Drosophila melanogaster: one gene and its partner. The protein of the gene in region 1 interacts with the protein of each later gene in a pairwise test. Each region holds a gene or a part of one and is shown on either strand. Other genes may lie near its edges. The genes, in order: CG14568 and Sec16.

What was found.
Region 2: the proteins of CG14568 (region 1) and Sec16 interact in a two-hybrid assay, tested with the Drosophila melanogaster proteins (one large-scale study listed by BioGRID).

What each region holds. Positions count from the first base shown.
Region 1 is NT_037436.4:21,725,751-21,740,239, forward strand, and holds CG14568 (uncharacterized protein), read right to left. Parts: upstream 7,738-14,489; 5' UTR 7,703-7,737; coding exon 7,187-7,702; 3' UTR 7,056-7,186; downstream 1-7,055. Other genes in the region: CG11247 (uncharacterized protein), read right to left, coding at 1-200, 413-988; Polr2H (RNA polymerase II, I and III subunit H), read left to right, coding at 3,443-3,892; CG14570 (uncharacterized protein), read right to left, coding at 3,992-4,678; CG14569 (uncharacterized protein), read right to left, coding at 5,184-5,771; CG14573 (uncharacterized protein), read left to right, coding at 8,381-8,959; CG14567 (uncharacterized protein), read right to left, coding at 12,012-12,584; CG14566 (uncharacterized protein), read right to left, coding at 14,016-14,489.
Region 2 is NC_004354.4:12,586,734-12,602,910, forward strand, and holds the start of Sec16 (secretory 16), read left to right. Parts: upstream 1-9,313; 5' UTR 9,314-9,501; intron 9,502-9,942; exon of another isoform or gene 9,943-10,004; intron 10,005-10,167; exon of another isoform or gene 10,168-10,236; intron 10,237-10,612; 5' UTR 10,613-10,619; coding exon 10,620-13,708; intron 13,709-14,849; coding exon 14,850-15,164; intron 15,165-16,177. Other genes in the region: LIMK1 (LIM domain kinase 1), read right to left, coding at 1-1,167, 1,237-2,434, 2,523-2,588, 3,108-3,715; CG1824 (uncharacterized protein), read right to left, coding at 5,967-6,215, 6,274-6,879, 7,143-8,159, 8,235-8,598, 8,764-8,813.

The DNA of each region.
Region 1 (14,489 bases):
TGCTCCTGGTTTATGTGCGCTCGCAGGGCCAGCTCGTTGGCGAATTGGTTCTCACAGATGCTGCACCGGTGCTCCATGCCCTGCTCGTGTCGCTCCATGTGCACCCGTAAATTGGCGTTGGTTGAGAAGCTGGCCGAGCACTTAGTGCAGTTGAACTGCTGGATACTCGTCTTGTGGTGAGAAACCATGTGCTGTTGCAGCTGCAATATAAATGATAATATATATTAGGAACACCAATGGTTAAGACCTATAAAAACAAAAGCCTAATAGAAAGTTCATTATTAAATACACTTATTTATATTTAATTATTATAATAAATATTATTATTTAAGTTTATAATAAATCAAATTATGAGAAAAATATAAAATTAATTGTTAAATCTCAGTTAAAAATGGAATGTCGTATTACTCACTTGACCTCCTCGGGCGAATTTTTTGTCGCAGAGGTCGCAAGGATAGGGCTTCTCGCCAGAGTGGAGGCGCATGTGGAGCCGCAGGCGCTCCTTGAGGGCGAATGATTTTGGGCACTGGGAACAAACGAACTGTTTCCGATGCTCGTGGGCGGTGGTGATATGATTTTTCAGGTTGACCGCCTGGCGGTAGCTCTTGCCACAATCCTTGCACTTGTGCGGTCGTTCGTCCGAGTGGATAAGCATGTGGCGCTGCAGATCCGTCTTGCCACCGAACTCTTTGGAGCATTGACTGCAGACATGGTGCTTGCGTTTCACCGGTTCGCCCTTTCGGGCAGACTTCTTAAGCTGCGGTTGCACGTAATCATCATCCTTTGAGTCCTGCTCTCCGCCGTCGTCCTCCTCCTCGTCCACACAAGCATCGCGCAGACTTGCCAAGCTGCTCTTCCTCCTTTTGATCGCAAGCGTAGGGCCTGGTGAGGATTCCCTCGCCGCCGGCGGCGAAGACAGCGATATGCCGCTGTCTGTGAGCAGAGAGACGGCATCCTCCTTGGACACACTACGACGGCTGCGTACCATTTGTTTGGTTTTTATTATTTGGATTCGTAACTAAATTTCTGGGGACCGCTTCCTGGGAAACACCGGCACCTGCTGCGTTTGTCTTTACTTCTAGGGTTAATGTTCTACGTATGTAATTTAGGGTATTCGTATTTTTTGGTTCGATTGCTACTTCTAGGATAGTTCCCATTCACCTTTGGTTTGGATTAGTTCAGATGGGCTGCAAAAAAAGTTAAGAGCTGTTTTAATTCTCCACTCGCCGAGCGCCACGTTCCGAAGCAGACGGAGAATCAAAAACACAGACAGAAATAGTAACCGCAAGTGAAGCCGAAACAGAAACAAGAAGAGAAACAGCAACGGAACAGAAACTCCAGCTGTGTCAACAGTGATAAGACCTATGCACAGGAAAAATATTACCAAAATTGGTGGATTTGCATATTTAGGGGCTTCGAAAAGCATGGCACTTTTTACGTTAATGCAATAGTTCTTACTATTTTTGCAGTGTTGTCGAAATCACTTGAGATTTTTAGACGTTGTTTATCATAATTAATTAATTAATTGCAATTCATTGGCTATCCAATTAGAAAATATATTCGTTTCTTTACAAATCTAGTTAACAACGGAAGGTTGTGGACTGTTTTTCACGGTGTACAGAGCTAGGAGCCCAAGTCTTGAAGTGGGTCGCATTATCAATTGACATTTCCAGCGAACGTAAGCTTCCAAAAAAAATTCTTAGTTTGTTGTCTTAATCTTTTGTTTGGGCGGGAGCGAGATGGAGAAACCGCCTGATAAGATCCCGAGGAAGGCAACAACTGATAAGCAATCCACCGCTTTCACTAAAATCACGGTAGAGCTATAAAAAGATATCGAGATAAAGCTGTGCAACCTGAGCGTTTTCGATCCCGCGGCGTCTGTTCTCCGAGGCGGCGGAGTTTCCAATGAAAAGCGAGAACACTGAAAATGCAACTGCAAGAGAGCGATTACGATGACCCTGGGCTGGGACGAACATCTGGCAAGCAGATTGGGAACCCTCCGATTCCGATTCCAGTGCCAAGCAACCCCCTCCCCCTGCGGAGGGTTAATGGTTCATTAGAGCCGCACCCGCAGAAGCTGAAAACTAACTCACTTTAGCAGCACAACGGCCCTCGACCAAACTGTTGAAAAAGCGAATTTAAGCTAGAATCCGCAGCTGGGAATCGAAATTGAAAGAGAACAGGGCAAAAAGCACGAACGACAGCGAAAATCACACACAAAAAGCGAAAATAAAGAAGTGAATACATAACAGCAGTTTTGTAATGCTAAATAGGCGGGGTTATGGGGGTGGGTAAGGGTTAAGGCGGCGGCGGTCGCTGGATGAGGGTAGGGGCCGTTGAAGTCTTTCGTATTCGGGGCACAAAACTCGACGACTGTGTAGTTTTCGGGGTCTTGCAACCGATTGTTAGTAATTAATGAACCAGCACCACAGCACTCATATACGTAAAGCAATCCATTATACACATATGCTACACATTTGGCCCAGGGGCTCCACATTCAACACCAACACCAAAGCCCCACCGGGCGTGGACTTACCTTCGCAAAAAGCAGGAGTCGCTAGGCTAAGGGCCTTCGATCCACAGGAAACTTAGCATCACCCCGAATGGGACACACCTGGACTTCCTATGCATTCCGCGTCCGACTATGAGTTCGCTTCTTATTTGTTTTTAATTTCGACACCACGAGCTGTGTGTACATACTTTTTGCAATCCGCTAGGTGGCAGTCCGACTGGCTCCTCAAGGTGTATCCATCGTGCTGCCTGCGGCTTAACCTTTGTGGGACTTTGCGGGTTTGCCGATTCTAAGCCAATACTGCGTTTTGTCCAGCAAAATAAATAACAGTTTTCGGTGGTTTTTCGATGTTGTTCTTAATGTTAGTGATGTGTATTCACCGATAGACGGTCACACTGGGACTCTCTGTCTGCGCGGCCACAGATGGGAGCGTGATGCACAGTCACTAGTTAGAGAAAATCCAATAACGTGTAGGTTGCGGCGCAATAAGTTATAAATAAGTTAAAAATCACATTGCGCAGTATCACTGCAATATTTATTGAAATTTCAGTAAGAACAAAGTGAGGCACACTTTGTTGAACGTGACTTCTTTTACACACTGAAATCACAGCCTGCTGAACGTGACCACTTTGCTCACTGAAATCGCAGACGTGTGGCAACACTCAAGCCGCCAGAAAGATCTGGCATCTCTCATACTTAACACGCGCATGCAAAATATTTAAGAAATAAATATTAGTCGCTAACAGTTTAAATATAATAAAATTCTGCTGATATAAACCCAGTTCATAAAAGAACACGCATTTACCTCCGCATATAAGATCAAATACGTATAAAATCTAATTAGCCGACTCAAGGTAAGGCGTGCGTTTTTGGAGCTCCACTAAACTGACTTCAAAGCAATAACTCATCAAATACTACATTTCAGTTAAAATGGCTGGAGTACTCTTTGAGGACATCTTCAACGTAAAGGACATGGATCCGGAGGGCAAAAAGTTCGACCGTGTATCCCGCCTGCACTGCGAGTCCGAGTCGTTTAAGATGGACCTCATCCTGGACATCAACTCGTGGCTATACCCCATGGAGCTGGGCGACAAGTTCCGCCTGGTTTTGGCCACCACCCTGCGCGAGGATGGTTGCCCGGACAGCGGGGAGTACAATCCAATGGAGCACGAGGGAACGCGGGCGGACAGCTTTGAGTACGTGATGTACGGCAAGATCTACAGGATCGAGGGCGACGAAGCACACAATGAGGCCTCCCGGCTCTCCGCCTACGTGTCATTCGGCGGCTTGCTGATGCGACTTCAGGGTGACGCCAACAATCTTCATGGCTTCGAGGTGGACCAGCACATGTACCTGCTGATGAAGCGGCTGGCCTTCTGAATTTTCTACCTAATTATTTTCGATCGCAAATTAGACATAGACAACAAACTTTATTTACAGTGTATTCATGACATTGCTTGGAGTGCTGAAAGAAGTAGTCTATTGCCTGGATGGGCGTCTGAAAGGCGCATTGACTATCAGGCGAGATGGCCGTGGGCGAAAAGGAATGTGGCGATCCACGAAGGGCAAAGCCTGCGGAGTCGATGGGAACACTGGAGTAGGCCTAATAGCATTCACAATCTTGACCGCATCTGGCCGACGACGAACCGTAAGCTTAGCCGGCCGTCGCTGCGGAGTCCGCAGAACCGGACGCTGCGGGCGGAAGGCAGAAAGTCGGTTCAGAAGCGGCAGAACATACTGAGCCTGGGGTGGTAGCGGCAGACTTGCCAAATTAATTATAGCTGCGCTTTGTGGCAATGTGTTGGAGCTGTCATCATTGGCTGGCTGGTCTGGAGGTCCGTAGGTCTGATCGGGAGGTCCATAAATTTGGTCCGGTGGGCCGTAGACCTCAGCTGGCGCTTCCACCAAAGACGGTGGTCCGTATGTTTCAGGTGGAGGGCCATATGTATCCTCCGGTTGAGGAAATTCAACCGCCTCCTCCGTTGGCAGGTCGAATGGCGGATCGGGGACCAGGCCTGCTGGTGGATATGGGGCTTGTTCCTGTCTTTGCAGAAACCTTCCCGCCGCGGGTCCTGGGAACCTCAGATGACTGCCTTCAATTCCATTCAGGCAAAGAATGGAACAAAGCGCAAAGGTGACCAGAGAAGCACTTGGATAACCGGACATTGTGGTGTGCTGACATGAACTGCTGCATGGGCGGCTAAGTGGCGCCTATAAATACCCCCTAGGAATGCCCTTGGGAACTGCCCAATTCAAACGCCCGAAGAAACCTCGAGGCCGATGACTTATAAGCCAGGTCCAACGATACGTGCCCATGGAGGTGGTGACTAAGGCGCGTGTAAGTACTGGCTGTTATGAAAATGTGTGGTTAGATTTCTTTAAAAGGGAGTGCTTATACAAAATAATTGTATATTATTTTTACACAGGAATAAAAAAAATAATAAATATAACGCTTTCCTATTAGTTTCAGTATGGATTTCATTTTAAATTGAATTTTGTAAGTAATATTTTGTAAATATATTTTCTGTGTACGGTGAGTGCATGATATCGTTAGAATAGATTCCAGCCCTGTATCAAAGACACTAGAATAATTATTCTAGAGTCTTTGCCTGTATGATATTTCCTTAAGTCTGACGCAGTGACGTATTTGCTTACGCTAAAGTTTTAAAGTCTACCAACTGCGACGCAGGATTAGACGCTGAGGAACGGGCCTCTGGGAACGCCGTCCTTGCGGAAATCGCTGGTAGAGTCGGGCGGACTGGACGGACTGTGGCTGGTCAAGACTGCTAGCTACAACGATCACAGTGCCATCCTCAGCAACATCCAGCTGCGGTTCATCCTCCTCGGCGTCCTCATCAGCGGGCTGCAGCTTGGCACCGTCAACCGATGCTTCCTCAGTCTCTGGAATATCATCAGTCTCGATGGGATTCTCTGGTAGCGGCTCAGCCTCGGGAGCAATAGCCGGCACGGAGTCGGTCTCTGGAGGTCCATAAGTGTTATCTGGTGGCCCGTATGTGTTGTCCGGAGGTCCATAGGTGTTATCAGGCGGCAGATAAGTGTTCTCCGGCTTGACAGTCGAACTGGGTAAATCGAAGGGAACACTCGGGGTGATGCCCGCCTCCGGATATCCGGTGGGCGAAGGACTGGGTATAGCCTCCACTTGGCGCGCCAAGAACCTCCGGCGGATCGGCTCCGCGGAGCTCAGCGCCAACAGGCTCAGGACAAGAATAGCAATTGGTGCGCCAGTCGGTTTAAACATTTTCGCGGTTGAAGGGCTTCTGTTCTGATTTCTCGATCCGACACGACGTATTTATAGCCCCAAGCTACCAGATCGAATTCTGCTATAATTTATGCTCGTCACTTTCAGTTTCAGGCTCTTATTCCCGGTAAAACTTTGATTATGTTGCGCTGATCGGCGGCAATGTAGCTTCAGCTTAATACCCGATACGTGACCCTTTTTCGAAATTGATTTTCCAATGCTATGATTTGGAATAGGCCACCCTTTCCCTCCTTCGCAAATCATTCATTAACACTTGGAGTGAGCTGTGAACACTCGAGTTTGTTTGGTTTTGGGTTCTTGGCAGTTCATAATTTTATTTGATGAACTTTGTATTCATGCAAAACAGAATAGGCTGTGAAAAAATCCATCAAGCACGCACTTTTAAAAGCACGTCCCACCCATTTGCAACATTTGGACAGTTTCAATCAGGGTCGATCGAATTCAAAAACAATGTTATTTACTATTAGCTTGGCTTTTGGAACACTCATTTGCCTTACCAAAAATTATTATATTCTGAGCTTTGAGTTTTTATCATGGTAAGTGAAAATCGGGTTAAAAAATATAGTATTCATACTCCTTACTCGTAGAGTAAGATGTGTTGAAAATTATGTAACAGGAAACTTTTCCGACCATATAAAGTATATACATATATGATCAGGATCAATAGCCGAGTCGATCTGGCCATGCCCGTCTGTCCGTATGAACGTCTCGATCTCGGGAACTATAAAAGCTAGAGGGTTGAGATTAAGCTTACAGCTTACAGCTCACAGCTTCTAGAGAAACGCCCACTCTAACGCCCACGAACCACACAAAACTGCAACGCCCACACGTTTGCAAATTGTTTTGACATTTTGCATATTTTTATTAGTCTTGTAAATTTCTGTTGATTGACAAAAAAGTTTATGCAACGCATTTTATTCACCAATATCTATCGATATTCCAGGAAAAGTATGCAAGTTCGCGTTCGCATTTCCACTAGCTGAGTAGTTGGTATCTGATAAGCAGGGAAGCCGAATATAGGATTTCTTGTTTGATACTGCTTGGACAAGATTTTTAATAGATAATAGAGCACAGGGTAACTTGTAGTTGAGACTCCCGAATCACTTTTGTGATTTGATCCTGATTAAGAAAATAAGATCTTAATAGAAAAGCAAATGCGTTCATATATCTGTTAGCTCCAACAACAAATTAAATATGTTTTGCTTCACTAACAACAAGACAGACATATTTTGCAATTTTCAATTTATGACAAAAGGGTGGCTTGAATATTAACGCAATTATTTTATTATTTAAATTAAAATATTCAACAACAATTTATTTAGCGACAAAGTAATAAATGCATATCCTAATGAGTCGATTCCATTTGATTTCTAGCAAATTAGGGTTGACCCATTTCAGATGGTGTACACCAGAACTGATCCAGAGCGGATAATCTGAGCGGATCGAAGCTTCTCTGGGGTCGGACGACGACTGAGGAGGCGTTCGTTACGAGGCTGGATCAAGCCGGCGGGCACGGGATCGGCAGCAGGGGCCTGGTCCACTGGGCCATCAGCCGGCGGTCCATAGGTGTTTTCCGGCTCAGCAGGTGGTCCGTAAGTGTTATCGGGAGGGCCGTAGGTGTTGTCGGGCTCATCTGGGGGTCCGTAGGTAAGATCAGGTTGCGCTTCAGTCTCCGTGGGCAGGTCGAAGGGCACCTCCGGTGTCACTCCTGCTGGCGGATAAGGGGCTGAGGCCGGCGTAGGTGCAATATCCACGGCGGGGTCGGCCGGAACTGCCTGATCCCCTGGAGCCTGCTCCTGACGGGCAAACTGCAGGCGGGAAAATCGTCCCCGGAATCTGGTAGGCTCTGCAACAGAAACGGCAGCCATGGCTGCGATCAGGAGCAGGGAGCAGATGAACTTGTGGGCCATGTTGAGCTGCTGCTGAGTTGTCTTAGAATGTTGTCAGTGGCTGCCAGTTTCGCGCCTTTTATACCAACTGAAGTTTTCGGCCACTCGGGTATATTTGGCTCACCGAGGGACACCCTTTCGTTGGCCTACGGACGTGACAATATTTAGTCAAGGGCCCATGTCTAAGCCATAACCATTGGCCGTTAATTATAACCCGCGGGCACTTAACTTTGACACTTTACGTGGAACCACTGCGGATGAGGAATGGGTTGCAACCAAAGAAGTCGAACTAGTAACGAATGTCATTCGTTGACTTGTATGTTTTCTAACGTAATTCTATAATTTTATAAATATGTCATTACTTTAACTGAGCTAATGAATTTCTTTCTAACCTACTTCCCTTTTTATATACTAAGCATGTGGCCAATGGTCCACATGGGCATGGGCAACTAGGGCTATAGATCTGCTAGCACTTTAAATTCCACTCCACTGTGCGGCGCCTGCTTGACATACAATGCATACGCATTGATGGATTTCAAATCGCGGCGCTCTGCTTAAAATTCACGGCGTTGTTGGCTGGGCTAGAATCGCTGACCAGTGACCACCGATGAGCAGGGCCACCGCTGCGGCACTTGGAAGTATAAAAGTTAAAGCTCCATATACGACAGCAAACACAGCTCAACTGCTAGTCCCACGATCATGGCACGTTACCAGTTTTTCAGTTCGCTCCTCCTCCTGCTGGCGGCCATCAGCGCGGTGAATTGTGCGGCACAGGCACCACTTCGGCGGACTCTGCGCCTGCGTCCGGTGGCGTTCGCCCGGCAGGAGCTGGCTCCCACCCCCTACCCCTCGGCTGCTGAGCTTAAACCCGCCGCCGAACAGCCCGCGCTGACCTACGGACCTCCCGAGGATGTGGATACAGATGCCTTGCCTTCGGAACAGGATCCACCAGTGGACACCTTCGAGCCTAGCCCAGAGAACGAGGAGGTGGACACCGAGGAGAGCTCACTTGAGGCCACCACACCATCCTCTGCTCCGGCCCGCCTGCGCAGCCGCCATAGATTGGGCAAGTTGCAGCTGGCTAAGCCAAAGCTGCTCCGCCAACGCACAGCTCGCCTGGAGGAGCTGCCCGTGGATGCGGCTGTGGCTCCAGTGGCTTCGCTGGTTCCAGTAGCTCAGGCTCCAGCACTGGCCACGCCCCAGTTTTACTATGTGGGTGCCCAGCAGCCGTATTACCTGGCAGCCTACAGCGCTGCTCCCCAGCAACTAGGCTGGTAGTAACGCTAGTTGCCTTCTCTTAATTTGTTCTGTTTGGATTGCAATTTGTTGTTAAAAATATATTTCTGCTAATATGTTTAAAAATGGTTCGTCTGCTTGTTTTCCTTACATTTTAAGTAAACTCAGTCCAAAAAGTCTAAATAGAAACCAGTGATATGATAAGCGAAACTAATTAATAAATTAAATATCCCGACTCCAATATCAAACAAATAAGTTATCATTTACGTAAATAATTTAGTATTTCGTATTTAATCAAAACGTATTATGTGAAAGTAAGTGGAGAAGGGAGGATAATCAGCAGTGTGCTCATCTATACGTGTCAGTCCATCTGACTGTGTTATTTTGAATTATTAATAATTTATATTATTATTCAACATCTACCGATTGTCGAGAAATAATAATTGCATGAGAAATAATTGCTTTTAATGGTTAATATTAAATTGTCGAAATGGATGCAAATTTGTTTACACACAGCTCAAAGATTTCAGTTCTCTAAAATTCAGTGCAAGCCATTTGCCTTTAAGAAAAACTTATATCAGACCTATTCTGGACGAACTCCTGTTCGGAATTCTTTGCATATCCTTGACATGTGAATTGCCTCGGAAGCGTTTAAAGGGTTCCTTGTTCCCATCGCATACTTTTAGCGGATTTGTATGGTCTTTTGTGAAAGGCTTCCCATTTCCAATGCATTTTTAATGCTTTGTTTTATTCTAGTTATAGTGGCTGGGTCACCAGTGTAATGGCTTGCTAAGATATTTTTTAGTCTGCGCAATATGATTGGTGAATGGTGGCCTTTCAACTTGATGACGGAGCAGTGTAAAGGATCATACTTACGGACATTTGGTTTTAATATTTAAGTTATTCTAAATATTAAAAATATTTCGGTACGCGGACGGACCGACACGGTAAGATAACCTCAGCTAGTGATTCTGGTCAAGAAACCTTATACTTTATAGCTTGTTCCTATCGGTTACCTACTTTTCAATGAGTCTAACACACCCCTTTACTCTAAGAGTGCCGGGTATGCACATTTAAATGACATGCATAAACACACCTTTGAACACATAAATAACACATACTTACCATTTTTAATAGAGCATTTTGTAAGGTTTAAAGCTTATATAAATACCCTCATCTGTTATCCAGGATTAGTTTGTACAGAGACGATGTGCAACATTATTTAGGAAAATGCTAATATCCTGTGCAAATATGTTCAAATTTTTGATGATCATTATTGTGGCTCTCCTTGAACTAACCAAGGCACTGGATTCACCTGGTGTTGCCACACAGAGGCCACCTGTTGGGGATAAAGTTGTATATCCGGAGGAAGACAAGCAATATATAGATATTCGTTGAGAAATTATTTGTTTAATTTGCTAACATCCAAATGTTGCGCCTAATAATTAATTATATGAAATCTATGTTAAGATCAGACCAAATTAAAATGTTTGTAAATAAACTTTAAATAAAATTAATAAAAGAAGTAAAGGACATCCTCATTCTCTCAATAATGATTTTCAAACTGAAAATTATGAAAAAAAAATCGCCAACCGTTCAACTAATTCCTTCGTGTCTTAGTTCTTCGATTGCTTAATAGTTTAGAAACCAAAAGGGCTGCTGGTCCAAGGGCGGCTGTTTCAAGTTGGACATGGCTGACAAACTCCTCTGACTTGGAGGGCAGAAGCCACAAAAAGGACGACCTTTGGGGTGATCCATAAAAAGCTTGATAATATCCTGTTGCGAAGTAAAGGCTCTTCAAATCTTGTACATTTTAAAATGTTTGGGCTCCTTTAATCACCTCCCCAATTGTATTACACTTATTCAGCCAATAACCTGCACCATTTTTTAGGCTACTCATTCCTTTAACACATACCAATATTACATGGTTTTTTCTTAACCTAACCAAGTACTGCAAGTAACACTTATCCCACAGTCGCAGCATCCTCCTTATTTGAACACAAGTTTGTTTCTTTCTATTTTAATGAACATCAAATTTATAGTAAACATTTAAAAGTAATGAAGTGTCTCTATGCGCACAAAGTTGTGAATTTGCATCCAAATAGGGAATTAATTTACATTCTATTGTGGACGTAGTGGTTGTGGGGGTGACCATGGGCGAATCCCAGAAATAACACATTTCTGAAATTTGATTTTGCAATTCTTTTATCACACAGGTTTATATTTTATAACCTTACTTTGTAAACGAAAATCATTTCGATGTATATAAGTACAATATGAAAAAACGCTATAGTCAAGTTGCCCGAATGTCAGATACCCATTACTCAGCTTGTCGACGAGCGAACGAGAAATTTCAACATTTTTCTGGCATCAATATTGGAAAATATTAAAAAAAAAAATAATACAATTTCAACATTTTTCACAAGTGTGGGTATAACAGTTTGAAGCGTTTTGTGGGGGAATAGACACGCCCCTTTGTCTATTATGATGTGGTATACCGATATAAAATACAATAAAATAGAAAAATCAAAACCCTTTTTAAAAGCGTTTAACTTTCATACGAACGAACAGACTGACGTGGCCAGATCGACTTGGTTAGTGATTCTGTTCAAGAATATATATACATCATATGGTCGGAAATACTTCGTTTTACCTGATACATACTCTCTTCGAGTCTAGTACACCCGTAGAGTAACTAAGAGCTTTCTAGCTTAAATTGTTTCTGAGATCACATCACTGCGGCTGCTGTATATACACGAAGAAATTAAAATCTGATTTGATTGTTCGATCTGAACGAGGGAAAAAATATATGGATTGAGAGTACTTGACTTTTTTAAAAAGTCGAACGACTATGTTTCTGTTTGGTAATATGTAATGTTTAGCTTGTAGATTATTTCTTTTAAGGTGATCAAAGCCTACTGTTGTTAACTAATTTTCAAGCCATCAATCTTATCAACTTTGAGTTGTTTCCCTTATCGTCACCTATAAACACAAATCTTGCTTTTCATTATATAAAATAAATAGGTAATTCTATATTTAAATTCGCACATATTTGAGTAAGTAAAAATCTCATTGTTGTTATTAATTTCAATAGTTAACCGCGGAAGAAAGATGCCCGCGTCTCCAGGCCACCCACATTCGGTCTCGAGCTATTCCGATGGGCCTCAATGGCCTGGTAATTAATGAACCAGAAGGGCTGCTGCTCCACGGGCAGCTGACTCAAGTGGTTGACCCACTCGCGGTCACCATGGGCATCGATGGGCAGCTGGTTGAAAACGGGGGCCACTGATGTTGCGGGTCTTCCGGCTGTGGAACTGGTGGGCTGCGTTGTGAACTGTGGACTGTCCTCTGCTCCAAATCGGTTGGCCACTGTGGGAGCCGCCTCCGCAGCAGACCCACTTATTGGCAGTACTAGGGGAACTCCAATCGGCGGCTTCTGGGAGGCTCCAAACGGTAGATTGACTAGAGCTGGCCTCTGCGAACTGGATGGCTCTCCAAATCTCGTAGCTATGTCCACTCCGGTGATATTCTCGACGGCTGTGTTTTGAGTTGCGTGGTACTTGTCCTTCTGACTTAGTCCACCTGGTGGCCTCAATCCCGCAAAGGAGGGCCGTTGGGCTCGAATATTTTCCAACAAAGTCATGGCAATGATGGCCACGGCAAACATTCGTCTCAACATTGTTGCAATGAAAATTTCACTTTCTGCACGCGTTTCTCCGGCAGCTTTACTCGAAGTAATCCGGTCTGATCTTCTACGACAACTGAGTACAGGCGGCTGGGAAGATCATTTAAATAAGCTTTGGCTCTCTGCTCCACAGCAGCTTTTCTTCAAATCAAACGAGTTGCACAGAAAGAAAAATTTATTATTATAAATTGCGTTTTTAAAGTATCCAAGCTAAATATGAATTTCACTTCGTATATCAAGGGAAGGCAAATAAAAAGTGAAGGCATTTTTAATAGTGGTTAAAAAGACGTATATATGTGAAACTGCATAGTTTCTTTTCGGTGTATACTATAGTAATGACTTTTAATGCGACTAATTAAATGTTCAATCTTGTAGTAGTTGTATTGTGAAGATATAGGTATAGGTGCTTTATTGTCGAAGGGAATAATTCCTTAACTTCCTTACTTTGTGATGTGTAATGTGCTTATCTTAATGGCGAAAAATACTCTTGCTTCGACCCTTGACAATTCGCGAACATTTCAAATTTGAAAATGCAATTAAATGAATCATTGAATTTGGTGATTATGTGTGCTGGAATATAGTTATTCTTCCGGATAATTCCTAGAGAACTTTTCCTCATAACTTTTGTTTTGAACTTTTTGTCATATTTATGATTCCATAAGTGCAGTTAATGTTCTTAATGTTGTAATTATTCTTTTTACCGTGCTGGAAACCATTTTAACGTGCAGTTTTTATTTGAATTTCTTGTTATCATGTTTCTATAAGAAAAAATAATTTGTTTTTCATTATCTCTCTTTTGAAACCTCTGAATTTTTTCCCACACTGATTACCCAGACTGCCCTGGATCGAGTTCAAGATTAGAGTATTTATTTTTCACTCGGAGCTCAGACTGCCGTATTTCTTGTTTTTTTTTTTTGCGGTCGGGGCAATCCCAAATTCGTCACCAGTTTGCGAAGCGTGCGTTCCCAAACCGGTTCCAGGTCTTCCCCTTTACCCACTCTCTCGGTGACCAATAGCTTCTTGATCAAGTTGGCTGAAAATTGGCTTTTGGACGCGTCTAGGAAAGTTTCTTTCCCGTCTGTACCGAAGTGATTCACTGGTATGACTGCCAAAAGAAGTTCGTTTTATCTCGAAACCAGATTTATTTGCATTATATTATAATCGGATGTGTGATTTTTTTATGTGTAGAGTGTGGGATCAGGTGAAAAAGAATTTCTGTGTGTGTTTTTGTCGTCATCGTGGCTGGTTGGATCGTCATGGGTTTTTGTTTTGAGTTGGCTGCTGGAATTGCAAGCAAAATAGAAAGAAATATTTAAAGGATCTTCTATATGGTTAATCATTTCATTGTTTATTGTTTTTTTGGTGTTCAAAAGTTATTCTTGATGAGTTCTCAAAGCCTTACCTGATTTTCACTTAGAAGCGTCGCACGGTGGAGCGGGCAGCACTCAATTTGGCCGGACGAGCTGCGGCGGAAAGTGGACGGCGATAGGCCACGGGCTTAGCTACTCTCCGGTAGTTGGCGGCCCTCCTGGCAGCTACCAAACGGGCCTGCTGCTCCGCCGGAATGTCGGCGGCAGCGGGCAGATCGTTTCCGGTCACGTCCGGTGGGCCGTAGACCTCGTCGGGAACGCTGTTAGGAGCAGCATCGGGCGGTCCATAGACGGCATCCGGTGTGGGCCCGGCGGCCGAGGGAGCAGCAGCCTCGTCGAAGGGCACTTCCGGCTTCAGCTCATCTGCCGAGGGATAGGGTGTGACGGCATCCGGATCAGCTGCGTCAGCGGGAGCCAGCTCCTGCCGAGCGGAGTACCTCGAACGTCCGCGGCTTAGGCGCTGCGAATAGCGCTGTTGCTGGGCTTGGGAAACGGCCAACAGGCTGAGGGCTGCAGC
Region 2 (16,177 bases), on another chromosome or scaffold:
CAGCTGTTTGGCAACTCCGCTGGAGGCCAGGTCCTCTAGGGACTCAGCATGCTGTAGTTTTTGCCCGACGATTGCCACTGGCGGATTCTTTCGACCGAAAATGGGCGTCTGATTGATGCGCTGCGTACGTGGTGGTGGCGGTGGGCAATTGTTGCCACCATTCAGGGCTGCAGCCTCGTGCTCCAGGCGCTGAAACATCTTAAGGGCCACCGGTGGGGTTTTGAAAAAGTTCTTCATGGAGTGCTGCGACTGGTTGAAGTTCCGCCGACTAGCCTCCTCCAAATGCTCGAATTTGCTGCGGCACTGATTCAGGCGGGTGCGCATATCATCGATGGCCAGACGATGGTGTTGTGACTCCTGGTTGCTGGGTTTATTTGTGCTCTCCTCCAACAGTTCTTCCTTGCCCGGTTTCACTGTATTCTCATCCTCTTGCGCTGCTGGCAGATTATTTACATCATGGTAATTTAGGCTAGTATCGCAACTGGAGTCCACATCGGAATAGGTGTTCAAATCCCTGACATCCTCTAGCTGCAATTCGGCACCGGCACGCAGATCCACCAGGTAACCTCTTTCGCCAAACGGACGACATTTCTTCAGCGCCTTCTTCAAAGCCCTTTCCTTGGACTCCGTGTCGGGCGTGAGATTACGACGCTCCTCCTGGGCGCCCAAGAAACGTTGGCGACGCCTGGCCCGCATACTGTCACGCAGTCTCTCGCCGCTGGGCGAGAAATCCTTGCCGAGATGCGGAGATTTCGGTATATCCTGGGGCTTAATCACCATATTCTCCTTCTCTTTTTCTACCGGCGAAATTTCCGAATCCACCGCACTCTTGACCAACTCATCGAGATTATTTAAGCTGCGCTGGGAGGTGGGTGACAAGGCGTCCTCAGAGCTGGCGTACCATTCCTGAAAGGTCTCAATCTCGTGCAGCAGACGCTCTGGCGGCACACGATCGGCGGCCAGATCATCGGCGAGACGCTGCAGCCAAACGTGCAGAGTTTCGAAACACGGACGCATATCGGGATTAAGATCACAGCACACGAAGGCCACTTTAACGAAAGGCTCTGGACACTGAGCGCAGAACTTCTCGCGAAACTCCTGCTGATTGAGACTGAAGTCCGAATTGCGAGGCATAAAATCCGGATCGGCTTCCACGCGTCCAATGATCTGCAAGGCAGGTGGCAAATAAGTTAAAGATAAATCGGTCAATAAAATCATATTATCTTAATCTCTTACCTCACACAACATAATGCCAAAGGAGAAGACATCCACCTTTTCGTCGTATTTGAGACCTTTCATCATCTCGGGTGCCATCCAGTAGGGATTCCCGACCACCGTGTAACGTTGCCTTCGCTGCCTGCTCTTGCTGCGCCTTAGTGTTCCACTCGGTGACATGGGCGCATCGCTGTTAGCGCCTGATCCATAGCCGCCTGGCGTCATATTGCCACTTGGCAGCCGCGGCGCATCCACACTGCGAGCTAGTCCAAAATCCGCCACTATGACCGAGCGATCTTCACGGACCAGGCAATTCATTGAGTTCAAATCGCGATGGATGATGTTCATCGAGTGCAGATAGCTCATGCCGCACGCAATATCCCTGGCCAAGCGGACGCGCTGGGGCCAAGGGAGTACTTGGGCTGGATCGTGGATCAGCTCCTTGAGACAACCACCGGCCACGTACTCCGTGACCATGTGCAGTTTCTTATCCTTGTACAGAACACCAATGAATTTGAGCACATGCCGATGGTCCAGCAAACGGAGAACGGCCACTTCCTTGATGAAATTCCTTTGCGCTTCCTCATCCGCACGATGCAGTTCTTTGAGGACCATCACCTCGCCGCTCTGACGGTGGGTCACCTTGAAAACCTTGCCAAAGAAGCCCTCGCCTAGCTTCTCTCCTATAACCAGATCAGTTGCACGAAAGATTCGTTGTGGCTTTTGGACGACACGGCAGGATTGCGTCCTGGACAGATCATAGAGCTGAGGATGCGCCGAATGCTGTTGTGCCTGATGCTGTTCATCCAGCAACTTGGACAGACTGGAACAACGCTCCTTCTCCTTTAGTTGCGTCATTGCGGTGGCTCCAGCTGCCGGTGGTATTGTCGTAGAGGCATTGGTGGCTTGTCGCAGTTTCCTGGCCTTCGTGCCCTGTTCGCCGGGTGTCTTGTACAGACGCTCCCTGCCCACCTCGACACTGGAGGCCGATGTGCTGAGCGGCAGGATTAACGTGGACGCTGACATGGCCCGCTGGATGTCCGCTTGGCTGCAGGAGCGGCACACTTGCACCGGATCATGCTCCACGGTCAGCTGAAGCATCTTCTCATTACTCCGTATCAATTTGTCGATCTGTTCCACGGACGAATCACTAACTGGTGTGCCGTTCACCTCCAATATCCTATCTCCAATATGCAGATTTGTAAGATTCACATCAATTCTGGATAATAGGAAATAAATCAATAATTAGCAAAGTGTTACTACTAGCTTAGTTGTTGCTTTTAATTCAACTCAGGCACATTTGTTACCTATAAGGCGCCCCACAGCACTGTTCCGCCATCGAGGTTAGCCACAAGAAGAAGTTACAGAACAAGCTATTTTTTTTTTTTGGGCAAGCATGTATTAGGGAAATGCAGAAAGAGTCGAAGGACGAACGCCCAGCGAAATTAGTTGGCAATTAGGACTAGACCTAGTTAGCTAATGTGCAAACTTTAACAAATGGCAACCAAAAGTGAGTCAGATTGAAGCAATAAATTATATACAATCAAATAATAGTTATCATTTCACAATACGTACTTCGTAGATTTGAGCCATGGTAAAATTTTTTTCAGTACAAAATGTAACCAAAAAGACATTCTTCTTTAAATTCATATAAAAAAAATGTTGTGACTTGTGTGTAAAAAGTGAGAAGACGGCTTGGTTTGTATAACATATGTACATTAAACGCAAAGGCAACTTAGAAGTTCAAAAAAGAGTACAATCTGATCTTTGAAAAAGATCTTAAAAAAAACAACAAGAAACAAATGTAACAATAAAGTTAATAAATAATGCAAATGCATGCATCTCAATGAGTTCATTGATGTAAATTATAGTAATTTCAGTTAATTTCTTACTCTGTAATGCGGACCGTGGGACAACCATCGTCGAGGGCCACTCCGTCGACCCTCAGGCCGGGCGTGGCGTCCTTGGGTATCTCGACCAGACGGATGGAGTGCATCGGCTTGCCGGCCGTTGTGATCCGCGCCTTCGCATCCGCCGGCTGGCAGGAACGTTTGCCATAGCACTGGCCACAATAGAGCTTCGAACGCTCGACAAGGGCGTACGATTCGCCCTCGCCGATGAAGGAGCCGCATGCCGTGCAGCAGAAGCACTCCGGATGGAATTTGTGCTCGCCGGCGACCATTACGGGTCCGGTGATAACGGCCATACACTGCTGACAGGCATCGCCGAATCGGCCGTAGTAATCCTCACGACAGTACAGTAAGCCCTCCCGTTCGAAGTACCAGTTATGCAGATGGCCCTCGCAAACGGAGCAGCGAAAGCAATCGCAGTGCCATTGCTGGCCGAGAGCCATCACGATTGGCTCCTCTGGATGTGGCAGTAGTTGACCCCGACAATGGGCGCACAATGGTGAGTGTCCTCCGGACACAGGTCCTGATCCTGCGCCCAATCCAGTGCCTCCTCGTCCGCCATTTGCCCGCAGGCGCTGCTGATGATGCATGGAATGTTTTTGTGCCTTGGCCCGATCACGTTAGCACTGTGGGTAAAGAGCAGGGGGGCGGGAGGTTAAAAAAAAGGTATTAGTCGATGACGGAATAGGTATTAAATATAGTAAATATAGACCAGCAGTCACGGAACTTGGCCAATTATCGTCAACAGGTCGATATGAACCAGTGGAAACTAAGCAAATATCATATAGGCAATGTAGGTCTATAAATAAGCTATCTTTACCCATTATCATTAACGTTGAGAAAAAAGATATCTACAATGATATCATACATGAAATGCATTTATTATCAACTAATATAGTATTATATTAGTTTTTCTAACTGATTTAAGTGTTAATGATAGGAAGGTTTGGCATTTTTCAAAACCAATTGCATTCAAAACTCTCCGTGATTTTTTATGATATACTGGGACAGCAATTCGAACTTTATTGCTAAAGCGATAGCCATGTAAATATTTTTGCGTACTAAACAAAATGACCGAACAAAACAAAATAATTGAGTCCGGTAGTCATTAGTTTAGGGTTCAGTGATAAAGACTTCGATCCTGAGTCAGCTGCCCCCCATCGGAATTCGCTATACCGCCTGATTTCCATCATCGATTTGCATGCATAATCCATGGATATATGCATATGGACATACATATGTATATGCAAATACACATGAATGTTTGTGTATTTATGGATATAGCTCAACATTGACCGTGAAAACTCCGGTTGATGCAACAACAAACGCGACTCTTTGGATCAACTGCAATCGCAATTGCACTTCAGCTGAGCTAACTGTAGTTGTTGTGCACGTCCCTCTTCCGACCGCATAAACATGACCAATGAATGACGAATGCACACGCACACACTTGCACGCGCGCACAGTGGTCACATGTGAGCCGTGCGTTAAGTGCAGTCCAAGCTCCATTAGGGGTTAATGTGCCTTTAATCACCTGCTTAACCCATTGAACTTTTACTTTAACCAACCATATCACAGTGCTGTGATTTTGCTTTGAAGAGATTGGAAATGAGTGGGTGTGCCACCCTGACTGAAGTCTATAAAATAGCCAAGACAAGCTAGGTTTACGAATGGAACGAATGGTAAAAAATCAAGTAAGTTTGAGTATTTGTCGCACTAGTCCCGCTAGAAACTAATTCCGTTTAATCAACTATGGTTATCATAACTTGCGGTCCAATTTTTGTTAATTAAGTCAATTAATTCACTCAGGCAATTTGCATATTTTTGGACTCCAAAATTCAGGAATGTGTCCACTGTGCGGAGGCAGAAGCACACACACACACGCGTACAGGTGCTGCACACACACACACACACACACACATGCACGCGCTGTTAGAAAATGTGTGTGGGGGAACGGGAACAACACGACATTAGCAAAGCCAATAGCAACAACAACTGGTTTTTTACTTAGATTTTATTGTTTTTTGCTGGACTTGTACACTAAACTAAACCAAACACACACACACACTTACATAATTGTTCGTTTGTATTGCTATTGACTTGACGCACATTGCACATTTGTTGGTTTTTCCTCGCCAATTTCTTATTCGACTGTAATTCCCGCCAAGCAATTATTAATCGCAACTACCGAAATGCCGCGGATTTTGTTTAAATGCCGACGCGACGCACAGCTCGCTAACTCAAACAATAAAAAAGAAATGCATAATAAACAAAACAACAACAAAACTACACAAAATAAAATACAATTCAGCCAGTGTGACCGTAGGACTGTCATTAAAGAATCTCAAAACTATCGTCTAGCTGCCAATCAACTTAAAAAATATATAAACTCTTTAATGAACAAATTTTTTATTATAAACACGCTGCTTGTCACTAACAAGAAATATTGAACAGAATTGAATATTGAAATAGTTTTTCTTTAATCTTCGAGTGACCGTATATGAGTATGGTTGTAGAAATAATGCGGTCCCATTGAATATATTATTTAACGGAAATTGGGATTTCAAGTGTTTTATATTCAGTTTTTCAAACTTTAATTTAAGTTCACGCATCCCATCTATTTTTAATGAACCCGGTGAATTTAGCGATAATGACAATGAAATACTTTCTGTTTATAACAAAAACAATACTGTCTTCAGCGTTTATTTTATTGTATACTTATTGTTAGCGTCTCTCACCATTTTTGTTTTTGGTCAGTTGAAAACAAAAAAAAAAGTGAAAACATTATAAGAATATTAAATTAAGTGTATAGGGAATCATTCAATTTGCCTAACATCGTCACTATCCTTGCGCTGCGTTTGCCCTGCCACCGAAGCTGCTGCTCCCCACTGTCACTGTTGCTGCGGAAGTTTCTGCGGCAGTTGCAATTGTTGCGGCTGTTGAAGTTTCTGTTGCAGTTGCCTGCTGCTCCTTGACGGCCACAACGTCCTCCACCGCCTGGACTTGCTCCTGGATGTCCCGTCGTTCCTGCTGACGCACCAGCTCAAAGTACAGGCCCCGCTTGCCCATCAGTTCGTCATGTTTGCCGGTCTAAAACAAGGGAAAATATAAATATTTCTGAAGATACCAATGGTCTAGGACAACTCACCTCCACGACGCGTCCCTGATCAAGGACGACAATGAGGTCAGCGTTTCGTATCGTGGACAAGCGATGGGCAATCACCAGAGTGGTGCGATTCTGGACCACTGTATCGAGTGCCTTCTGCACTTCCGCCTCGCTGGTGGCGTCCAAGGCACTCGTCGCCTCGTCGAGGATGAGGATGCGCGGATTCTTGAGCAGCGCCCGTGCAATGGCGATGCGTTGCCGCTGACCGCCGCTCAACTGGGTGCCCCGTTCGCCCACATGCGTCGCATATCCATCGGGCAGGGCGGTCACAAAGTCGTGCGATTGTGATAGACGCGCTGCCGCATACACATCCTCCTCGCCCGCATCTGGTTTACCATATCGGATGTTCTCCAATATCGATGTGCCAAACAGCACCGGCTGCTGTTCGATGAAACCGAGGACATTGGACCGCAGCCAATAGGGCGATATGTCCGACAGCTTGTAGCCGTCCAGTTTGATATTGCCCGCCGATGGTTCGTAGAAGCGTTCCACCAGCGACGCTATCGTCGACTTGCCCGATCCACTGGCTCCCACCAGGGCCACCGTCTGGCCCGGGCGGAGCGTCAGGCTAAAGTCCTTGAGCACCAGCTGTGAATGAAGCAAAAATTGACATAGGAAGTTCATTACTGTTTGCATTGCCTAGACTCTAATCTTTTTATCACTTAGCCGTAAATATTGGCCATAAATGTTTGTGGGTATTATAAAATGGTTATCTACTTGCGGAAGCGATAAGAAGTTATTCAATATTATATAAAAAAGTGGCGAGTTTACAAATTACAGAGCATCGATTAATGTAAATATGCCATCATTGTCTCGAGAATGAAATGAAGATATACTTTAATACAACTCACATGATCGGGTTGCATGGGATATGCGAATGAGACGTTCTCGAATCGAATCTCGCCGTGCAGCCGCTCCTGCGGGATGATGTAGCCGCGCAGCAATTCCACCTGTGGCTGCAGCGATAGGAACTCGAAGACTCGACTGCCGGCCGACATGCCTCTGATCATGGTGCCCAGCAGGATGGATCCCTGGGCAAGGGATCGCTGCACACCCTGCGAAGCGACCAGGAAGGCCATCAGAGCACCCGGCGACAGACTCTCCGTAGACATGAGGTGGCCGCCCATAAAGAGCGTAGATAGGACTAGTGTATTGAGGAAGAAGTTGGTCAGGCCCTGGAAGATTGCGATGCCGTAGCCGAGTTTCTGCGCCAGGCGAGCCGCCTCATTGGTCTCCGCCTCGAACAGCTGCATCTCGCGGTATTCACAGGCACTGGATCTAACCGTTCGGATGTTGGACAGCGCCTCCTCGCAGACACCCGTCGCTCGTTCCGCCTGCGCCTGTGAGCTTTTGCTTAGAGAGCGCAGTTTCTTGCCCAAATACGTCATGAACATAACCACGCACGGAACGCTGGCCAGCGCAATGGCGGCCATGTGCGGTGAAATCATGAAGAGCGATATACTGCCGCCAATCAGCTGGGCAGCACTTCGCAGTCCCTGGGAGACGAACTGCTTGAACGAGGTCTTGAAGTCCTGTACATCGGCGGTTAGTCGATTGACCAGCTCGCCCGTTCGATTCTCATCGAAGAATGCGATGTCCTGGACGACAATCTGCGTGAACAGATCCTGCCGCATCTTGGCTGCCATCTGCTCACCGACGCGGCTCAACAGGTAGATGTACATAAAGGTGAAACCAGATTGCAGCATGTATAGGCTCAGCAGATTGCTGGCCGGTTTGCTCACGTCCTTTACGAACGAGTTGTTAATCGGATCCATCACGTACGTGTTGGCATATCTGGCCAGTGTGTTTACCAGGTCACCGAGAAGATTTGGGATGCGTATGTTGATATAAGCCACTATCAGGGCGGCCTGCAAATGAAATTAGCTAAATATTTTGACAAATGCTACACCTGTTCGTGGGCTTTTTGTGATCCAAGAACTCACGCATACGGCCCCGATCAGCTCCCAGAGATGTGGCTCCAAGTAGGTCCACAAACGCTTCCAGTCGAAGTGCTGCTCCGACGCAGTGTCCTCCTCCTCCTCCTCCTTTCGAATGGCCAGCCGGCTGCCTTCGCAATGAACGATCGCTCCGCGATGCCCCGCCCACCAGGAACGGGCGCCCAGACCGATAGCTAAACTACCACCGCCCCACACAAGCAGGCGTGTCGTCTGCAGCAGGCGGCTGGCATTTGTGGGCGGTATCGCGGGCGGTTGGGGAGCGTTCGTTCCACGCAAATGTTGGCGCATCAGGCGGGCGGCATTCTGGAGGCGTGGCAGTGGCTGCTGCGTGGGCTGCAGCAGGTGGCGACTAAACAAAGCGAAATAGGCGGTTAATAATAGGTTGGCTGATTGATGACATAACCGGAGTGAGGGCGAGGGGGAGTCGTTGTTTCCCCAATTCACTGCTGGCCGTAGCAGATCCTCGTGCGTCGGCGGCCCAGAACCTCGCCCGCGATGGTGACCCCTACTCTACCTAAATATGTCGCTGCTCCTGCCGCAATTGGACACGAGTAGGCGCAGCATCTCTTCTCGCGTGGCTTGCAAATATCAACAAAATACGCAAGCGTTAACGCATCACCTGGCGATAGACGCACAGGCATGGCTAGCGATGGGCAACTGTAAGCTATCGATTGTTCGGCGAGTCGTTAAAGGGGCATTGCTGATATTTTCCTGTTCAATATTTTGAATCCCCTTTTAATAATGATTCTACATGAAAAGTCTGAAGATCAATAATAAAAACCAACAGAAAAAATAGACTTATTTTAAAAACTTGCATTTGTCCATTTATTACTTTAAATGAGTATCGAAGTCTAGTTTCCAATGCAGCAAAAAATTATAAGTTTTATAGGATACGAGCAAGAAATGTGGAATTGATTTAATTTGTTTAATTGATTTATCGATTGAAAAGATTTATACATTTATATTAATACAAAATATTTAAAATGTAGGAATATATGATTTTTTAAGTGACCACTGTCCTGTCACACCAATCCAACTGTTTAGTGTCATCTCTATCTGCTGGCAGTCTGGCAACACCACGAAAGTCGAGTTGGCATTTGATTTCATTGCTGCGTTCGGATTGAAAAAATTTCATATTTAATTGTTTAACTCCCAAGAACGTCAGCAAACCAGTAACTTGTATAATATTTTTAGTTAAGTACAGCCGAAAAAAGTGCCGTACCGAGTGCGTGTAAATAAACAAGCGATTTGTGTAAGTCAGTGTGCAGCGTAAGCTAATTAGAAGAGAAAAAGGAGAGCTGTATGTGTGTTTGTGCAACCTACCTGCCTGCGAATGTGTGTTTACTCTCTCTCTCTCGTAATATTAGGCTGTGTTTTATTTTTATAAAAGATAATTGACAAAGCCACCTGAAAAGTGTTTTCTTTAGTTTATTGTGGCTAGTAAAAGCGATTGTGTGCTCAAAATTCGCAAAAAAACACCGGATTGCAACCCTGCGTATGGTTCTTTTTCGCCAAGAGAAAGAAAAAAGAGTGCTGTCTCTTTCTCTCCCTCACCGCTGCTCCAATTTTTTTTTTCAAGAGAGTGTTTTCACTTTTGACTTGCGAAGTGGTAAAAAAAACATTTAAAAATAAAAAAAAAAGAAATGAAAAAAGTATATTTAAGGTCAGATTCGAAAAATCAACTGCACAAATTATCAGCGGCTTAAAAAATAGGTAAAACAAAAAACCTGCTGCGTCAAGAGAACAACAACAAAAGTAAGAGAGCAATGAAACGGTGGTAACAAAACGAAGAAGAAGACCAGAAGAGTGTGGGAGGGAGAAGGGGCAAAATATGGCAAACGTCCACGTAAACTTTTAACTTTTGCTTTTCCGCTCATTGTGAGCTCTATAATATACCCTAAATTCTATTTTGTTCAGTATTCGATTGCGTATTTTCCATCACTCTTCACGGTTTCCAAGTGTCATTAAGGAAAATCCAAGAAAACGGGTAATTTTCCATCAAAACTGGTTTGGTTCATTGAACTGCCCCACAAAATCCAGCAACCACCCCCTGCAATCTCCCCGGAAAACTCCTTATAACACCTAGAAACCTTTTAAATATCTTGGGCGAAGAAACGAACACTTTAATATTAAGTTTTTTCGTTACCATACCATACCTTTAAACCCTTTTTTCGGTTGAATATCTCTTTTGGAAAATAAGCCTGTTCAAATTGCGGGTAAAGATATCTCTAGGGACCTGAAAACACCTTAAAAAGATATTTAAATTGACGATTTACCAGGATATTAACGTGATTTCTGTAGAAATAAGTAGGCATTCATTTTTGAGTTAAAAAGTTGACATCCTTTTGTTTTTCTTTGTTCAGATCCAAAATGTTGCACAATAATGCGCCCTGGCTGCCACCGCATCAGCAGCAGCAGCAACAGGCGCCGCAGCAACATCCTACTCCACAGCAGCAACATGCAATGCCCCAACAGCAGCAAACTCTTCCTGCCCAGCAGCAGCAGCAGCAAGTCTATGCCAGCCAAATGTTCCAGCAACATCAGCCAAATTATTGGCCAGAGGATCAGCATCAACAGCAGCAGCAGCCACAATCCCTGAACTACAATAACTACTTTCCGGGACAGCAGCAGCAACATCCTATGCAGCAGCAGCAACTGCCACCGCAGCAGCAACTGCCACCACAGCAGCAACAGCCTACGCAGCAGCAACATACAATCCAGCAGCAACTGTATTATCCCACTCAGCAGCAGCCACAAGTCCCGGCTCCAGCGGAACCAGCTCTGGACTCGTTTGACAACAATAATAGCGGAGGAGGTGGTGGTGGCGGCCGGAGCGATGGCTGGGGTGATTGGGGCGATTGGAACGACAATAGCAACAACAATAATAGCAACGGCACCGATGGCTTGTTAGAGCCAACCGGACAACTGCTGGAGGATTCCTTCAATGTTCAATCCTCGCAAGGCAGTTGGCAGGCGTTTGCCACTAGCAATAATGTCAATAACAATGGAGAGTTGCCGCCACCAGCCAATCCGCAGTCAACGTCCTTGCAACAACAGCCATTGAATCAGCAATCGATACCTTTGCTGCACCAGCAGCCACAATCGCCGCCGGAACTGGGGCAGGAACCCGAACTGGATGCCATTGTGCCTCCCCAGGCTTTCCAAAACCAACCACCAACTGCAGCACCACCACCAACATCACTGACTTCCTTCTCTGCACAAATGACTGCTGTGGGATCGCCAATCTATGCTGTTGGAGCATCTTCAGCACATAGCGCAGGAGTAGGAGCTTCACCAGCACCTCCCACTGGAGTAGTAGCTCCGCCAGCACATCTCGCCGGTATAGGAGCTCCACCAGCACATCTTGCAGGAGTAGGAGCTTCGCCAGCACCTTCCGCTTTAGTAGGAGCTTCTCCAGCACCCATCATTGGAGTAGGAGCACCACCAGTGGGAGCACCACCAGTAGGAGCACCGCCAGCGGACGCTACAACTATTGCACCACCGGCCGCACTGCCACCTAGCATAGTTCCATCGTCTGGTTCCAATCCCTTCAAGCGTTCCACGGGCCTAAATAAGCGAGTGAACATAATGGCAGATCCTGCAGCAGGAGCTCCATCGCCTCCAGCTCCTGCTGCTGCAATTGCTCCTGTGGCACCAGTAGCACCAATTCCGCCACCAGCAGATCAGCTCTTTGGTATGCCAGCAGAAGCTCATGGAGAGGGTTTCAACTTAATTGCGGCGCCACCTGTTGAGGCTTCACTTGGAACTCCACTAAGTGCACCTATTCCTGCACCCATTCCTGTACCTAACGCATCGCTCTATGCATCACCGGCTGTTCCACAGGCTTTTGCGCATTTGGAACCGGACAATCAGGAGGTTTTGTCCGCGCCAAATGACGAACGGGCCCAGTACTTGCAGACCAGCCACCTGTCCGAGCAGCTGGGCGAAGGTGAAGCGGATCAGGATGCGGGCCTGCTGCCACCACCAGGACTGTCTCGTCTGGTTTTGGGCCAACCGGAGTTGGATTCGCAGCAGCAACGCCAGGTCACTGGAGCCACAGAGCAGCCACCACTTAATGTGGCCCAGGCAGCTGCTCTGCATATGCAAGAACGTCGCGCAGATGGCGAGGACACCTCTGACGGCGAGCAGCAAGTGCGTAATATACAGACGCCACCTCGTCGCGTCGTAACCGGCGTGGAGACCAATGCCCCGTCGTTGCGAGAACAGCGGGAAGTGGTGCTGGATGGCGAGAATCTGGAGGATCGCGAAGCTATACCGCCACCAACGTTGGCTGAACTGCCAACAACTTCAGTACATCACAATATTCTACCCGACGAGGCGGAGCAGCTGCATCACAACAATCCGCCCCAGGCGATGACCCCGCTAAATGCACAGCAACCACATCAGCAGCAGTCCACGCTGCAGCAGCAACACCAGCAACATTCAACCACTCAGCAGGAGAAGAAGCGTGCAGCAGTAGGACGCCGGACCACCGCGTCGCTGGATCTAGAGTCCGATGAGTCCGATGAATTCCTGCAGAGCGAAAGGGAACGGGATCGGGAGCGTGAGCGCAGGGATCTAATGGAGGAGAGGCACAGTCGTGGACGCAGCCATAGTCACTATCCCTACGAAGGCGAAACGGAGGACTCTGTGCGTGGTGCTGCCCATCACGAGACGAAATCCTTGAGAGAAACACATCACAAACGTAACCACGATTCAGCACGCTCTCGTCGCCATCAGGATCCTAAAGTGGAACGTGAAAGGGAGCGGGATAGGGAGCGTGACCGCACATGGCGTCGACGATCCAACAAGTATCACAGCGGTGGCGAGGATCCGGATCGTTCGTACGATCATTCGCGTCGCTATAACAACAGCAACTACGAGGGCGAGTCGGATAATCCGGAGTATAATCACATGGGCGACGCAGAACTTGATGGCAGCGGTGGACGGAGCAGTAAAACCAGTCGCCATCGACGCAGTGCCGCCGAGGAGGATTTCGATGATTACGAACGGGAACGTAATCGATCCCGGCGCTCAACCAAACCACAATCGTCGGCTGAAAAGTCACGCTCCTCGGGCGGACGACGGAATTACGAGAATTCGGGTCGAAGTGCCCGTGCGGATGATGGACGCAGACGTTATCAGGATCAGCGCAATCCTGGTGCTCAGTATCCCGTGTCAGCCACCGGCTATGTTCCCTACGGAATGTACGAGCAAATGTCGCGGAATCCACAAGTCTACGCTGATATGTATGCAAAGTTCTATGGCCAAATGATCAACTCGATGAACGCAGCTGTTTCGGCGGCTGCTTCGAAAGGTGGAGTTCCCGCTGGAGCAGGAGTCATACCCGGATTGATGCCCAGCGCGGTGCCCGTCAGTGCCGCCCAGTTGGTGGCCGCCACCAGCGGAGGAAGTGTCAGCGGTAGCAGTGAAGCCGCCATGCTCAGGGAGCGAGAAAGGTTAGTTTCCAAGTACATGTCATGTTTTTTTTTTATGTCTTTATTATTTATGAAGTTTGCTTGGTCATCTAGAAATACCCCAGAGTCTTGCAGAGATTTTAGATAAGGGTTTGAGGAAATTTTTATATTTGGATTCACAATTTCTATTTATTGTATGTTGCATCAAATATGAGATTAGCAAATTATTAGTTTTGTAGTAAATGATTGGAAAAAAAAGGCAATTTTTTGCTTGATATTTTTATACTATTCGTTCACTGGAGCGTAATAAATATCTTTCGCTTAGTGTAAAAAAAGATTATATAAATTAGATGGCATGTTGTTATTTGACTATTCAAATTAAATTTATTTCGTGTAATGAAATTAAGTAGGACAGTGTAATCTCTGCAAGTTTCGGGCTCTAGAATTTCGGCTGATCCAAAGTGTTCCTTTGCCAACGTTCCTTTAGTTTTGTTTAACCCCTGTCACCTGATAACTTAACCCTTAGTCTGAACCCGTTTACCTGCTCCTAACTTTTTGAACTCGAAGTAGTTGTTGGTTTTTCTCTGGCTTTCTTACATTACCTTGATGTTTGTCAACTAAAAACGGATGATTAACATTGATTGTTTAGCGTTTGAATGGGTATATTAACCCTAACCCCTCCCATTGCCCATCTACACCACCACTCCGTCCCTTAAATGTTGAGGTTGGACTTGGGCTTTAATCTTATCAACTGAACTAAAACTTGCTAATTTTGTTTGTAGTAAGTGATTAGAACCTAGGTGTCTCGCTCTCGCTCGCTCTCTTGCAGCTTTCTCTTTTCCCCTTGCGTTGTACCCCAAATACATGTTACATATTCCAATTGGATTCTACCATCCCGCCATATACCATGCTCCACTTCCACTTTGTTCCCCGTGTGCCGTTCGCTGTGTACGTGTTTTACTAATTAAAACAACACACACACACACAATAAGATCCAAACAAATGCAAAAACCAAACTAATGCAAATTCGTAAATAACCGCAAAACTGTTTTCGTCTCTAACCAACAAAAACAAACAACAATCGCAATCGCAACAACAACAAATTGCACACAAACAACAACATACATATGTGCTATCTGCCCAACTTCCCACCTTTACATATACATACATATATACAATACAGGTATACACACGCATACATAACCCAAGCCAATGAATTCCATCGTCACCAATACAAAGAGCTGATCTACCAGCAACAACAACAACAACAGCAGCAGCAACAACAACAACAGCAGAGGGAGGATCACCTGAACTCCAGCTTTAGCGTTGCAGAGGATAATGCCAGTTTTTACGGATCGCACGGAGGAGGTTCCATCTATAACCAATACCAATCGTATCCACTATCCAGTGCCCGATCGTTGAGTAACTTGAACGGCGATGGACGCAATTCCCGATGCGGACCGTATTACGCTGGTTCCGAATGCGGTCTCGATATCAGGTGGTCAATACAAAAAAGAAATACAGAATCCTTAGATAGCCAAAACGAGAAAGGACATTAACTTTGGCAAGCTAATGTTCATATATACCCTTGCTGTCATGATAAAAAATTAATTCATTCAGAATATATCCATTAAATATCGATGTCTTCTTTATGAATTTACTAATTCGGCAAATGAAAATCTGAAAGATACAATATCATGTATGTGATCATAACGTTAAACGCTTGAACCCATATTTGAGAATTTGTTATGATCCATTTAACTCAAGATTTTGTCTGATTTTGCTAATTAAGTATTAAATAGTTCTGAAATGAATAAATTATATTCTGCAAGGGTATACAATTAAAACAAAAAAATCGCCTGCTGTCTGACAAAAACTTAACCCACTATCTCGCTTTTTGTCGCGCTTTATCTCTTTCTCTCCTCTGAAGCTTTGCGCTTTCTTCTAGGCAAAAACAAGATCACCCAAAACACCTGTCCTTTTCATCCACACTCTACCCCCCTCTCTGTCGCACCCACTGTTCTGCTGCTTTGGGAAATAGTTTCTTCGCTTTGTCTCTGTCTTTAGAACAGATGTTTTTTTTTCGGAATTTTGGATGGTTGGGTTCAGGAAAATTATTTTTTTGAAGAATGTGCTTTCGAGCCATTACTATTACCTAAAAGTCACCTTAAATAACGTATTTTATTTTTCCAAACAAATTGAAAACCGTGTTATCTTAATTGTGTTGAATCTCTAAAGAATACATACATTTCAGTAAGAAATAGTATAAGAAATGTTAAACCAAAAGAACAGAAAGTGCACGGAACAAAAGTTCAATAGGTTGCATAAAAACCATTATATCATCTATATTTTATTGGAACATCAGCTTGGGATCTGTGGAGAACTGTTGAGACCTGTCTTTTAAGTGGCATAAAGTGGGAACTGTTGATGATTCTTCGCTGATGGGTTCTTTTCTCCCAATTTCGTTTTCTACTCTCCCGATACCACCATATACTCTCAAAAAACCAGAAA